Lonchura striata: one gene and its partner. The protein of the gene in region 2 purifies or fractionates together with the protein of the main gene of each other region. This does not show direct contact. Links are inferred from orthologs where the notes say so. Each region holds a gene or a part of one and is shown on either strand. Other genes may lie near its edges.

Evidence for each region. The genes of interacting proteins can lie anywhere in the genome.
Region 1: the proteins of CTBP1 (region 2) and FOXP1 purify together in Homo sapiens (affinity purification with western blotting; 3 studies listed by BioGRID and IntAct, with this or other methods). This does not show direct contact. The link is inferred for Lonchura striata from reciprocal best matches to the Homo sapiens genes CTBP1 and FOXP1.

The regions. Positions count from the first base shown.
Region 1 is NC_134614.1:20,739,310-20,746,239, reverse strand, and holds the start of FOXP1 (forkhead box protein P1), read left to right. Parts: upstream 1-3,871; 5' UTR 3,872-3,889; intron 3,890-4,602; exon of another isoform or gene 4,603-4,672; intron 4,673-5,273; exon of another isoform or gene 5,274-5,468; intron 5,469-5,833; exon of another isoform or gene 5,834-5,852; intron 5,853-6,930. UniProt on the Homo sapiens protein: Transcriptional repressor. Can act with CTBP1 to synergistically repress transcription but CTPBP1 is not essential. Plays an important role in the specification and differentiation of lung epithelium.
Region 2 is NC_134606.1:7,055,822-7,062,817, reverse strand, and holds the start of CTBP1 (C-terminal-binding protein 1), read left to right. Parts: upstream 1-3,993; 5' UTR 3,994-4,117; intron 4,118-6,996. Other genes in the region: E3 ubiquitin-protein transferase MAEA, read right to left, coding at 3,188-3,256. UniProt on the Homo sapiens protein: Corepressor targeting diverse transcription regulators such as GLIS2 or BCL6. Has dehydrogenase activity. Involved in controlling the equilibrium between tubular and stacked structures in the Golgi complex.

The DNA.
Region 1 (6,930 bases), on a different chromosome or scaffold from region 2:
GTGCTGAACTTGAACGCCTCTCACTGTGACAGGGCAAGCCCAAATATTTTGGGAAGAGTCCTTGTTATGTTACGACAGGGGTTGGTAGCACTGATGCTGGGGACAGGTTTTGCTTTAATACAGAGCTGATTATGCTTCATTATTCAGGGAACAGCGTGAACTTGGGCAGGCAGGCTGCTGGGAGAAGGAGGATTGCACTTGGGCACTTCATATTTGTAGGATGTGCTGAAGGTCTTCCAAGAGATGCTGTCTCTTAGAAGAGGTCAGTATAGGAGGTCCTGAAAGATGTTTTTCTGTGGGTGAGAAAGTAGAAGAAATAAAGCTTTTTTTTCCAAATAATATAAATGTTTAATGAAGCCCCTACGTGTAGACAAATACCTGGGGAAGAGCTTGTATTAAAATACCTTTTAAATCATATTTTCTATCCCTCAAGGTGGTGTTTGCTTCCTACAGTGTACATCTTCCCTCTTTGATTGGTTTCCTCTCCTGAAGTCAAGCTGCATCTTGGCAGTGCTTTGTGCATCTCCAGTGCTGCACGAGTGTCCAGCACGCGAAGTTTCATCAGTCATGGACTTTTAGCAAGATTGGATGTGTCCTGGAGTTTGCCAATTCACGTACGGCACGTAATTATATTCAGGAAGCAATAGGAATTAAATGACATTAATTCCCATGAATATTCATTTAAGAATCTCGACCAAATTCAGGCAGATTAATAGTCCAGCGAAAATACAATGGCTATTCATTGCCCCCACAGGAAAAGGAAATATGTATTGGCTGGCAGCTCAGGCCAAATGGAAATGTGCTATAGAAAAGTTATCTCTGGGTGGCTTCTGGTACAGTGGTGGCTGGAGGGACACCTCCAGGAGCAGAGAGGATTACTGTGGGTATGGATGTGGGGAGCCTTTCCCATCCACTGGGAACCCAGAGGAGTCTGGGGTGAATCCAAGACTCGTGTCTCTGCACTGCCTGTGCAAATCCAAACCAGCTCTGACTGCAGAGGAGCTTCTCTGGACTCACAACAGAGCAAAATGTCATTTGTTCTGTGCCTGACTCCCTCTGCCCTGTGCGTGGAGCCAGGCTGCAGCCTGCTCTGCCTGCATCGTGATGCTGCAGGGCAGCACAGCTTCTTCTTTCCCTTACACACAGCACCAAGCTGGCTGTGCTGCTGGCTGCCTGCTCTGCCACAGCCAGCCCAGCACCAGCCCTCGGGGTGGCTGTGGGGCAGCCCTGTCCTGCCAGGCACCTCCTGGCACATGGGAGCTCAGTTCTGTTCCAGCTTGTCCTCCCAGCACAGGCCAGGACATGGTTTCTACTGTGGCCAGGGAAACTGGGAGAGAGTATAATAGCAAAAGCAGATGAAGGATGCAAATACATTTGAAACGGAGGGATCACAATTTGGTATGCTGGAAACCCCCCTCCCCAACAACAACATTTTATTTAATTCCATTTCATTTAAAAAATATCTAGGTTTGGTTATAGCCCTCATTTGGAAGAACTTTTCATTTTGTCAGACAAGCCAACTTGAGACCTTAGCTGTGTCACATTATCTCTTTGTGGGACTTCCCCGGTTGGAGAACAGATCCACCTTCCACTAAAGTTGGTGCAAGTGCTGCTAGAGCATGGGGTTTAGTCTCTAAGCTGATGTTTACACCTTTTAAAATTCCCCCTCATAGGCAAGTTGACGTTTCCTACCCTTGAAGTTCTCTGAGCTAAAGAAAGGTCCAGTTATTTTACAGTGCTTGTGTACCATGTGGGCAGAGGTGCATTTTCTACTTTTTTGAAGGTTATTTTTTGCCAGACTGATCTGACTTGCCCCGACTACACCAAAAACAAGGAAATGTGGAGAGCAGCTATCACCATCTTGCCAAGAAAGAGTTTTGCCTCTAGTTGCAGTATGAGCATACTCACAGGGCTGCTTCTTCTTGTGCTTATTTGAAACAAAAGTCAGATAATCATAAAACCAGGCTGTAAATCCAATGTACATTTCTCTTTACGTCCGCCAACTTTTTGGGGCAGTACATGGTGTGTATCTCATCTTTTCATGTCTGATGTAAAAGGTAAAATAACAGCTGAGTACCCACATGGGCTTTGCACCTACGCAGGAGTGCCAAGTGGGCCAGGAACCCGCCGTGCAGCCTGGTGATGTGCTCTGCAAAGCCTCATAAACCAGTGACTAAGGCAGAAAGGACTCCAAGGCCTGGCTCCTGGGACATTGGAGGTGTGGCATTACAGTAGCTTGGAAAACATTCTGACTTTATAACAAGTAACACCTATAATTACAGAGGCGTCATCACCTTCATTTTTTTTTTTTTTTTTTTTAGCTAACAAGCTGTAGTTGTAGCCTGTATACATCCCTGCCAAAATCTGCGAAGTATTTGCTCTTGGGATGGTTCTACCGGTGGTGGGAATATCAAGCATCTTTCTCCAGGCACTTGTAAAACAATACAGCAGTAAACAATTCAAGCACAATTAGCAGCTACATAGGCAGAAGGGGAGGGAGAAGTCCCACCGCTGGTACTGTCTGTGGAATTAATCATGTTTTACAGAGTTGATATACTGGTTTGGATGTGTGAAGTTAAAAACAAGAGATGAAGAAGTAGCCAATAAGTGTTTATTCGAAGCTGAAATTTAAAACAAGTATTGTTTCATAGCGGTAGAGAGTGTTTAAAAAATGCAATTTTAACAGGTTTTGCTCCATTTTCTTCCTACTGAAGAAACAGATGAACTAAAAAATATAACAAGATGATGTTCGCTTTTAAAGCTGGTGGTCCCGCCAGGTCACACAAACCCCGGTGTCTCCTGCGGTACCGGAGCTGCAGAAGCGGGATGCTGAAATCTCCGCTCCCGGCTCTCGCCCGTTCCCGGCCCCGAGCGCTCCCCGGTCTGAGCGCACCGCTCCGGCAGCGGCGCGAGCATCACCTCCGCAAATATTTATTTGCAGCGATTTTCCGCTCTTAATTATTTAAAATATAATGAATTACGCATAAGTACCTCGCTATTAGGGTAATTCCAGGTCTTAATTGCTGCCGGAGCGGCTCCCGCCGTTCCGCCGGGAGGTGGCGCCGCGGGCCCGGCGCTGCTGCCGGAGCCGCCGGGGCCGGGCGGGGGACCGGGACCGGCACCGGGACTCGGGGAGCGGCTGGGCGCAGCGCGGGGCTCCCGCGGGCGCGGCTCGCCCCGCGGTAGCGCTCCGGACGGCGTGTGAAACCATCGCCCCCGGCCCCGGGTCCGTCCTGCGGGCAACCACACGAGTTCGCCGAAAAAGCAGGGAGGGAAGAAAGCCGGGCGGGTCAAAGAAAGAGTTTTTTTTCCCCCGAACGAGTCGGTCGCTCGGTAACTTGGCGGCCGCCCGCTGACTCCCGCCCGCAGCGCCGGGCAGGACGCGCTCCATCCCCGCGGGGCGCCCGACGAGCGACCCCCGTCCCGCCGGCGCCGCGCTGCTGCCGGCAGCGGGCCGGGGTCCCGGGCAGGGCAAGGGGCTGCCCGGCGGGGCCGCTCCCCTCGCCTGCTCCGGCCGCCGTCAAGCGAGCCCCCGCGCCGCCGGAGGTTCCAAATCCATCGGTGCTGTTAAAACTCGCGGCGAACGAGTGCCGAAGCCGCAGGGCTGGGGCAGCCGGGTGGTCCCGGCTCTGCCCCCGCGGGCGCTGCCACCCCTCTCCTCGGTAGCCCCGACGGCGCGGCCGGAGCGCTGCCGCTCCGCGCACCCACCGAGATGCGGACCCACTGCCGCGCAGCGGGACCCAGCCCGGTCCCCGGGACGGTCAGTCCCGCCGAGCGGCCGGTGCGCGCCGCTGCGCACCCGCGCAGTGTGTCTGAGCGGTGTTTGCGCCCACAGCAGCGGGCGCTGCGGGGCGAACGCAGGCAGCGCCCGCTTCGCCGCTCCGCGCAGGTAAGGCGGCTCCGCGGGTACCTGCGGAGGGCACTCCGGGGTCCCCCGCATGCCTCAGCTCCGCTGGCCTGATGCCCCGCTGCCTCCCGAGCGGCCGCGGAAAAGTTGGTAGGGGTGCGCAGCGCTGCGCGCCCGCCGACGGGGCGGCCCCGGCCGGGCGCTGAGCTGTCCCTCGGGGTGCGGAGGGGCGCGCAGGGATGCGCAGCGCTGCGCACCGCGCTCCACCGCCACTTTCGCTTCCCCGTGGGGCCGCCCCGCCTCCCCCGGCCCGGCCCCCCCCCGCCTCCCCGGCCGTCCTCCGCGGAGCTCCGCGCCTGCGGGGCTCTCGCCCTTCACCCCCTGCGCGCTTCACCCCCCGCTTCTATTATTTTATTTTTTTTTTATTATTATTTTTCCCTTGCGCCGAGCCTTGTTTACCCAGCAGGTGGATGTGACGTCAGAGACTGACAACAGCAAAAAATAACAACATCTCCCTCCGCGGGGGTGTCGTGGGCCGCCCCCGGCCCGCCCGCGCGGGGCTGCGCGGGGCGGGGAGGGGGCGCGGGGCGGCGCGGGGCGGGGGCGCGGCGGGGCGGCGTGCGGGGCCCGCGGGCGCGGCGCCGGGCGGAGGGCTCTATTGTTATTTACCGAGCGGCGGAGCACGCCGCCGCGCCGCCCGGGCTCGGCGTGCCGGAGGGACGGGAGGGAGGGACGGGACGGAGGCAGCCCCGCGCCGCTCCGCGCCGCCGCCCGCCCGCGCCGCGGCCGCGCCGTGCTGGGCAGCGGCAGGGCCGAGTCCTGCGGGTGAGTCCGGCGCCCCCCGACACTTTCCCCGCTCCTCCGGGGCTGTTGCACTTTTCCCCCCGCCGGCCCCACGTGCCCGGCCGCCCCTCCCCGACCGCCGCCGCGGTACCGGGGGGGTGGGGGGATGTGGGGCGGCGGTGCGCGGATGCGGAGCCCCCTCCCCGGGCTGCGGGGCCGCCCGCACCCCCTCCCCGCCCACTTTGGAAACTTCCCCCCCGCCCCGCGCTGCGCGCACTCCCCGCCGTGGTGGGATGCGGCGCGTCCCGCCCCCCTCCCATCCCTGTTCGTGCTTTCCGCGTGTTTTCCGCCGGGTCTCTCCGCGCCGCCGCGCAAGGGGCGCGTACGCCCCAACTTCGGCGCTCGGAGCAAGAAGTTGCGGTGGGGCCGCGCCCCCCCTCCCCCCCGTGCTGTGCCCGGCTGCCCGTTCCCCCCTTCCCGGGCACCTGTTGCGGCTTCACGCCCGCGCAGCCCCTTCCGCAGACGCGGAGCCCCGCGCCGCGCATCCGCCCCCACCGCTGGTCCCTGGGACGCGTTGCGCCCATCCCCCCTCCCCTCTATTTCTTCTTCTTCTTTTTTTTTTTTTCTTTTTTTTTTTTTTTTTTGAAACGAAGTGTTTGAATAAACACCCGCGCCTCCTCAGCTCAGCCCGGCGCAACTTCTCACTGCGCGGGTGCGGACCGCGCATCCTTCACGCGCGTGTGTGAGCGCACGTCCCCCTCCCGCGCAGCCCCGCGGTGCGGAGCCTCGGGACGGAGCCGCGGCTCGCTGCGCGCCGCGGAGCCGCCGCCGCTGCCCGGTAAGTAGGGCCGCCCCGCGCACCTGCCGGCCCGCGCTGCGCGGCCGCGTCCCCGGGCAGCGGAGGGGTGCGCGCTGCAGGCGGCGGCCGAGCGGCGTGTCCGCGCCTCTCTCCTCCCCACCCCCGCCCCGCCGGTTTGTGGGTTTCTTTCTTTCCTGGAAAAAAAAAAAAAAGGCAACAAAAAAACCCAAAACAACAAAAACCCCAAACCAAGCCATCGAGCGGGGCGCGGACAGCTGCGCGGGCAGGGCTCCGCGGGGCGCCGCGCAGCCCCCTCCGCTCCGCCCGGCAACTATTAATGACCGGGCGGCCCCGGCGCGGACAGCATCGCCGGGCGGGCTGCGAGCGCCGCGCTTTCAGCGACTCTTCTGCTGCCACTTCGCTGTAATGATTTTAATTGCGTGTTTTTGCTTTGAGTGAACCAAGCCGAGCGCGATTACTTTTTTTTTGTTTTTCCTTTTCCCCCGTCCTTTTCCCTCTGAGCCTGGCAGCGGCGGCAGCGCGCAGCCCTCCCGTCCCTACCCGAGGCATCTGCCGCCTGCGAGCGCTCTCTGAGCCGCTTCTGTAGAGAAGCTAGAGCTCAACTTCCGTGCTCAGAAGTTTAAGGTTTCATTTTTAGTAACTGTTCTCGGAGTGAGTAATGGATGTGTACTGCTCGTAGCGTGGCGTCTGCACCATATAGCCTGCTGATTTCTGGGGTGCTGGATGGTTCTAAATACTAAAACAGTTCTCTAAACTGTGTTTCCTTTCCATACAGTTTTTCTAAACTTGGATTTTACTTGATTTGACGAAATGTTGGTGTCACTAGTGACAGATGCTTAATTAGACAAAGTTGCAAGCATGTCATCAAAGAAACTTTTTTACCTTTGCTGTTAATCCACGGCTTACTTTTAATATTTTGGAAAACAGGCATTTTGCTCGGTTTAGGATTATTTTTGCAGTTTTTATTACTGCTGAACAGCTCTTACGTTTTATAAGTTTGAGAGAGCCTGAAATAACTCAAGTTCCCAGAGAAGCGAGTGTGGGCAAGGAGGTACCGTGCATCTCGGCAGCTACATTTGGGGGAAGACAGGGAAATCGGGGCTACTCGTTTCAGCTTCTCTCCTCTGAAGCTTTTCCCCTGCACATTTTGTTTGAACTATCTCCCAACCATATTGAATGGACCAGGGCACTGGGGGAGGAAGCTCTCCACTAGTTACCATTCAAAAGGTGTCGGCTAAAATCTCATTGCAAAAAGGTATTGTAGCTTTAACATCTTGCATTGGCAGCATTCTTCCCCCTTAGTCTTTGGATTAGTCATTGTATGAGAGACAGGAAAAAAAAATCACTTTTTTTTTTTTTTTCTGGAAAAAGTAAAGTAAACAGCCTCCAACAAGTGAACCTTGACAACCCAGATTAAGGAAGGCAGGAGAGATCAAACAAAGCTGCTGCTGGGCTGTTGTCAGGAGCTGCCTCACTGAAA
Region 2 (6,996 bases):
CGAGAAGCTGGAGTGTCCATCTTGGAAGATAACTGAGAATAGTCTGGTCATGGTGCTGAGCAACCTGCTCCAGCTGATCCTGCTTGGAGGGCAGGCTACTGGACTAAATTGTCTGCAGTGGTCCTTTCTAACCTCAGCTATTCTGCAGACACAAGACAGAAACAACATGCACTTCATACAAACCTGGTCTCTTACATGTTTCCCTGGAACAATCCAAAAATTGCATTTCCATGAGAAATTACAATCTTATTAGATCTGTTGTATTTTCTCTGACAGAGATGCCAACAAAAGAAACCAAACACTTGCTCAGAGAAGGCACTGACATATCCTGTGCTTCTACAACTCTCCTGTTGCAACTTTTTTTTAAAGCACTAGCACATCAGCTAAGCCAAAACTGCTTGCCAACTAACAGCCCAGAATATTTTCAAAAGTGATCATTCCTGCTTTTGGGTCTTGCATCTTCCACTTTTGGGATCTTCACATATACAGCTTGCTATCACTTTAATAATTATTCATACTTTAAAAATATGGATGAATTATCCAGCTTCCTGTCATCACTTGTTTATTATTTTCAGAAAAGAACTCTGATAACAATGTTTGCATTCATTCATTTTCAAATTGCCAGCTTTCATCTTACATGCTCTCATCTGAGACTAGCAGAATTCCCCATCAGTAGGATTAAAGAAAAAAAAAATCCACAGCAGTTTGCAAGAAGAATAGCTGACAACCTTCTTGTCCTTGAGAAGGGACTGGAGGGTGTAGGGGGGAATATTCAAGAATTATTTTGTACACTTAAAGAGCTTCTCTAGATTCAGCTGAAGAACTGTATTTACTTCCCCTGAGCCAAACTGCTGAAGAAGGGCTCAAGTATTTCCACTCCAGTAGCAACCACAATTTAGCTCTGGAGCAGGGATTTCCCTCTGCAGTTTGAAGCACCCTTTCACATGGAAAGCACTCTGTGGAACACACTGTAAATGTAGAACTATTACACAACTATTATCTAGTGATGCTGGCATGAGGAAGCTAGAGGGAAGAAACAGGAAGGATATAAATACAAGTCTGCAATCTTTTCTATTTTACTCACATAAGGGAAAATCACCAGAGCTCCAAGAGCTACATCTGAGCTACTGTGCTGGTGAATAAAAAAAAAACCAAAACCCAACAGTTATACACATTCATTTTACACAGCATTTGAATAAACTGGAAATAAAAATTCAGATTCTCAGTTTCACAGAAACTTGTAGGCACTTGACTCCTAAAGATCAAAATGAGATTTCACATCAACTTACTTTAGTAGACTTTAGCCTTACTGTTCATTTCTCTGTGCTGCTTTTCCACCTTCACCAGTAAAATGTTTTGATATATGACTCACAGCTGAGAACATTTCAGAGGACACATTCAAAAGATTTGAGCAGACACTGTTCTGGTAGGTTTTTTTAAACAATGAAAAATGTTACCAAAGATTACAGGAACAACCCAGAAGTTGAATGGCTGCTGGGAAGAGTCAATAAACATCACCTTTGCTTAGAAATTGAGAGTTTCAGTGCAAGGGTGTCTCACCCTCTTACTATTTAGCTTGCTAACTTTACAAACAACATTCCATTCTGTTATGTATATTTTTGTTGAGGTATTTTAGGGGAAAAGAATGCCTGTGAAAATAAAAGAATTAGTCCAAAATATTCTCTACCTTTTAAATAGCTGGCACCTTGACAATTCATCTTAAGTCATAAGCACCACAACAAAAAACTCACTGATCCTCACTGCCAGTAATTTTTCAGGAATGTAGCAATCAAATCTGTGGTAACAACTCTAATACACCTAAAATGCAGTCTTAAAACGATGTTCTTAGCATTAAATGCCTTCACATTGTTCTGGCTATGGGAAGTGCCAGAGAGCTCTTTACAGCTATTTTAAAATTTAAGCCTGATGCTGTCAGGTTCAAAGTACTTCTGGGCGAAAGAATGGAGCCTTCACATGTAAAAGGAGAATCAACACTTTGTCCTTCTCCTTCTCAGACCCGAGCAGAACGGAGCTGGTGGAGGAGGACATGCACAAGAAGAACATGGCCAGAGAACCTGCAGAACCAACACTGTAAAGAGCACACAATGCTCAGCGTGTGAAGGACAGCATGATCACAGCACAACAAAGTTGACTTTGCACAAACATCTTCTACAGATGGCAAAATGTGGATACGCTGACACGAGAGATGTCTAAAGAAGCATTCTGCAATAGAGATCCTTCTCCCATGTCCTTTCCACAGCTGCTGCTATTTATGTGGTAAACCTCCTGTATACACAACTCGAGACTTCAAACAAAGGTTCCCGTTGATTCCTATGAGCATCATCCTTGCAGTTCAACAGTTCTCGGAGGCACTGAGCGTTAAGGTCATCGCCGAGTCCTTCACCTGCCTCACAACACCTGGTTAAAGCCCAAGACCACCTATGCAGCCCTGGAAGACCTCCATCCTGCAGGCAGACACAGTATGTCAAGGAACAGCTTTTCCCAAACTGTATTTTGGCTTATTCGGCTCCATAGCCCTCCAGTACGTCTGAACCTTTTTATATTTTAAGCTCATCTCCATCTTCGGGGGACCAAGCAGCCAGGGAACCATATTACACTGCCACCTCCACTCTCTCCCCTTTAACACGTCTCCTAACAACGCCACGTAGATCCAGATAATCACCTGGGATGAGCACGTCAGGCAGTCCTCGGCGTTCCTGAGGGAGTGCATTCCACTCACACGCCCCAAACCCTCTCCCCCAGCCCGGCTCCGTCCCAGCCCGCTCCCCCCTCACACCGCCCCGCGAGCACAAGGACCTCACTTCTCTCCCAGCTCCTTTCCAGCTCCTTCTGTGTCCCCAGCGTGGCCCGGGGGCCTCCCCCGTCCCCTCAGGGCACGGAGACACCAGGGAAGAGCCGCATATTCCAGGCACGTCCCTCTCCCTCCGCGGAGGGGGATGGGAACAGCAGCAGCGGAGCGGCACCAGCCGAGACGTCAAGCGGAGGAAAAACGAGGACAGGCGGGAACTACGCGATGGGAATCGCTCCCAACCTCCATCCCGCAGCCCCGGGGCTCCCGAGGCGGGGAGAACCGGGGGTAGAAGGGGCTCCCCCTCAGCGCTGCTCGGGCGGGACGCTGAGGGCGTTAACGCGCTCCCCCCGCGCCGGGGGGCGGCCCGGCACCCACCTTGAGAGTGGGGTACTCCTGCACCTTCAGAGTCATTGAGAGCTGAGCGGCTGATTCCTGCACCGCCATCTTGGATCGGGCACCGGCCTCCCCCGCCCTCCCTGCTCTCCCTCCCGCCCTCCTTCCCAGCGCGTCCCGGCGGGAGCTACCTACGGCGCGCGCGGCATACCGGGAAACGGCGCGCGCCCCGCCCCGGCCCTCATGGACGCGGGCCGAACCAACGCCGCGCTCTGCCCCCCCCCGCCACCGCCGCGGCTTGGTACGCTCCGCGGGGGCGGAGACGGAGGGAGAGTGACGGCGCGCCGGCCAATGAGCGGCTCGCTCCCTCACGTTCCCCCGCCGGGAGTGTCGGCACCGCCCCAGGGCTCGGAGAGCCGCGCCTGAATGGGCAGCGGGGAGGGAATGGGCGGGGCCGCGCCGAGGCGCGGACAAATCAAAGGGGACTACGGCAGCGGGATAGGCGGGATTTGGGGCGTTATGGACACCCAGCCACTCAGTGGAGGCAGAGAGCCGTTTCCCATGGCCCAATCAGAACATGCTCTGGGACTCAGTGGGCGGGGCCTAAAAGTAAATTTTGCTGGTGACTTCAAACGGCCGTTTTAACACCCCCGAGGTGTCCGGGAAGGGGAGGGGCGGGGCGCGGGGCGGGACGCGCTGTGATGGACAGCGCTTCCAGCCAATGCTGTCGCTTCTCGAGTTGACGGGCAGGCTGCTGAACCAATGACCGGTGCGTCTGGGCGGGCGGGCGGAGCGGCGGGCGGCGTGTGGCTGTGTGTACATCGGGAGGGGCGGGGCCGCCCCCGTGAGTTCCGCGGGGCGGAGGGAGCGAGTGGGAGCCAGTGAGGCGGAGACGGCGGGAAGAGGTTTAAATAGCGGAGACGGCGGCAGCCCCCTGCCCTCGGCTCCCCGGGCCGGCGCCGAGTTTCCCCGGTGAGCGGAGGCGTGGGGCGGGCGCAGCTCCCGCCGCAGCCGGGCCGGTCCCGCCCGCCCCGCGGGGGACGGGGTGGGGAGGGGGGCGGCTCCGCTCGGCCGCCGGGGTCTCCGGTGGTCCCTTCGCGCTCCCGCAGCCGCGCCGGGGAGCGGAGCTCGGGCGCCACAGGTGCGGGGTTCGGGCGGCTCCGGCCGGTCCGGGTGTGCGCGGGCTCCCGGCGGGCTGTGGATCTCCATGGCTGCGCTCGGAGGCTCTGCGTGACCCGCTGACCTCTGGCCGGCCCCTGTAAGGTGACAAGCACCGCTGTAAGCGAGCAGTAAGTCCTCTGCCGGACGTACGTGAGTGTTTCCATTAAAAAGAAAAACAAAAAACCAAACAGGGACGCGGTCCTGCAGAGTTTCTACTTGTGTGTGCGAGGGAATAAAGACGCTCTTGGAGTGTCAGTCCTAATGTAAAGCTGCTTTCTGGGTAAGGCGTAGAGGGCAGTGTCTCGGTGTTCGCTCCTCGCTGGTGCTCCTCAGTGGTGACACGGGCACTGGGACAGAACCTTCATCACCGCGAGCGTGCAGCAGAGGGGAAATGTGCCCGCAGCACCTGGGCGTGCAGTAAAATACTAACTTCATTCTGCTGCTGCCGATGTCAAAAGTTAAGTTTCTTGATGCACTGGCAGCAAATGTGCTTCAAGCAGTGTGCTGCTTGAGTTTGAAGCTTTAAAGAGACCCTAAAACCTGTATCTATCAATAACCGTGATGATTTTTTTTTCTCTCTAATCTTTGTGGCTATATTTTTACTGGGCTGCAGAAGACTGAGGGAAAATAAACACCAATACTTCCAGGAGGAGCGAACACATTTAACTTCCATGGTTTGAAAGAGCAAGTATATTTCTGAGAATATTTGGTGGCATTATTTCTGATGTGCATAGACCTCATTGCACTGAAAATATCTGTCCAGGAATGGGGGTAAATAAAAGGGAATGTGGGAAGTCATGTAGTTGAGTGTTAGATTCTCTTTGCCTCCCAATTCTTTTTACTGATACTTACTCACAGCTGCCCTAGCATTCAGCCTCGTGCTGACCATAACCAGCAAATGTATGCCTAAACATAATTTACCAAGCCCATACCAGTTGCAAAGCCTTTGTCTGAGAAGTGTGTTAGTAAAACTTTTGTGCTAGTTGCACCTGGGATTAGCGTTCGTGTCTAGACATGATCTTGGGACCAGATCCTGCAAGAGGATTTTTATAAGGGGGATTTTGACTCCATTAAGGCTCTGTGCAGGGAATGGTTCATCCTGGGCTGCTTGGGTGGAGGATCGAAAACTTTGCTCAATTGTTGCTGTATTTACAAACATAATTATGTGGCATTGTAAAATATTCCTGTTCTTCCTGTCTGTCTTAAATATCCTGTAAGCTAATATTTAGAAGGAAATTTGCTCTTGAGTATTCTGTGTGATTATGGTACTGAACAGCTTGAACCTGTCATACCTTGACTCTGTGATGGTTATAGGGATTGAAGAAGTGTGACTTGCCATGAAGTTGATCAAGTCATGTACATATTTGTCCAAGACACTTATTTGCAACAAGTTTTGTTTATATATAATCTCTTAATAGTCCTGATAGTTCTGATAATACAGTAGCTAGTTTAATGTAGCACAGATACTCTGTGGATACAGGTTATGTGCTCAGACTGTCTTTAAACTGGAGGGTTATTGGTGAGGCTTTCTCAGACGTTAGTAGCCAGAGCTAAAGGGGTTGCTTGATGGAACAGATGGCCAAGCAACCATCATGTCAGAGGAAACAGCATGCATTCGTGTATTCTTAGTTTAACACAAGAGGGAGCATGTCTAATCTTTAACCTTTAAATATTGCAACTTCAGGGAGAAAGCTTGAAGTGTTGAGTGTCAACTAATTTACGTTCAAGGCTCCATGTGCAAATATTGATACAACCTATGCATATTTCTGGCATGTTTTCAGCTGTAGTCTGCAGCTGTTGATTTATATTGTAAATGTTGGCATGATAAATGTGGGGATGAGAACTAAGCTAATGATCTTATGAAGTTGTTAAATTCTGTAGTTTCCTGCTAAATTAAACAAAATATTTATGGCTATTGTTATTCTTGGGTATGGTCATTAATGTACTATGGTTGTACTTTTTTTCCTGAATATTAGGCTAATATATGTCCTCTGCTTAACCTACCATACAAACTTACAAAGCTGAGTCTTAATCTAATTAAATTTAGTTTAATTGCCTATATGCCTTTGCTTTTAGAGTTCTTATAAATCCTACCACTTTATTCTTCAGTAGGAAGTATGAAGTTGGATCTACTAAGACGTTTGGTACTGTATCTTCTTTAGTTTTTCCTTGTCCACTGGTGTCATAAAAGGTAGATGAAAAATCAGCTTCCATTTTGTATTTCTTGGTTGTCCAGTTGAATCATAATGTGTTAATGTTTGTCCTCATTCAGTGTCTTGTTAATGTGAATTAGCAATTAGTTTAACTTAAGCAGTGTGCAGAGAATACTCCAAACCTTTAGGAGAACTTCACTCATTTTTTTTCCAATAGCCTTCAGCTTTGCTCCAGATTAATGATCAGAGAAAAACATTAAACACTGCATGCAAATGATGTATCTTTCAGGAACACAAACATTCTGTGTTATTTGGTGGAGCAGAGCAGAAACCTCAGTGCTCTGCTTTCATACGCTGAAGAAAACTGCTGTGAATTGAGATTTTACCACACTTGCTTCTCTTTCCTCTCTGGGGCCATTATAACCCCAGTGCCAGGAGGCAGAAGTGGGTGTGTGTCACCATCATTTCTTGTATTTGCAGACCAGACTGGCCTAAGGCACGAATATGAAGGCCTGTGCTGGTTCAGGTGGGAAGGAG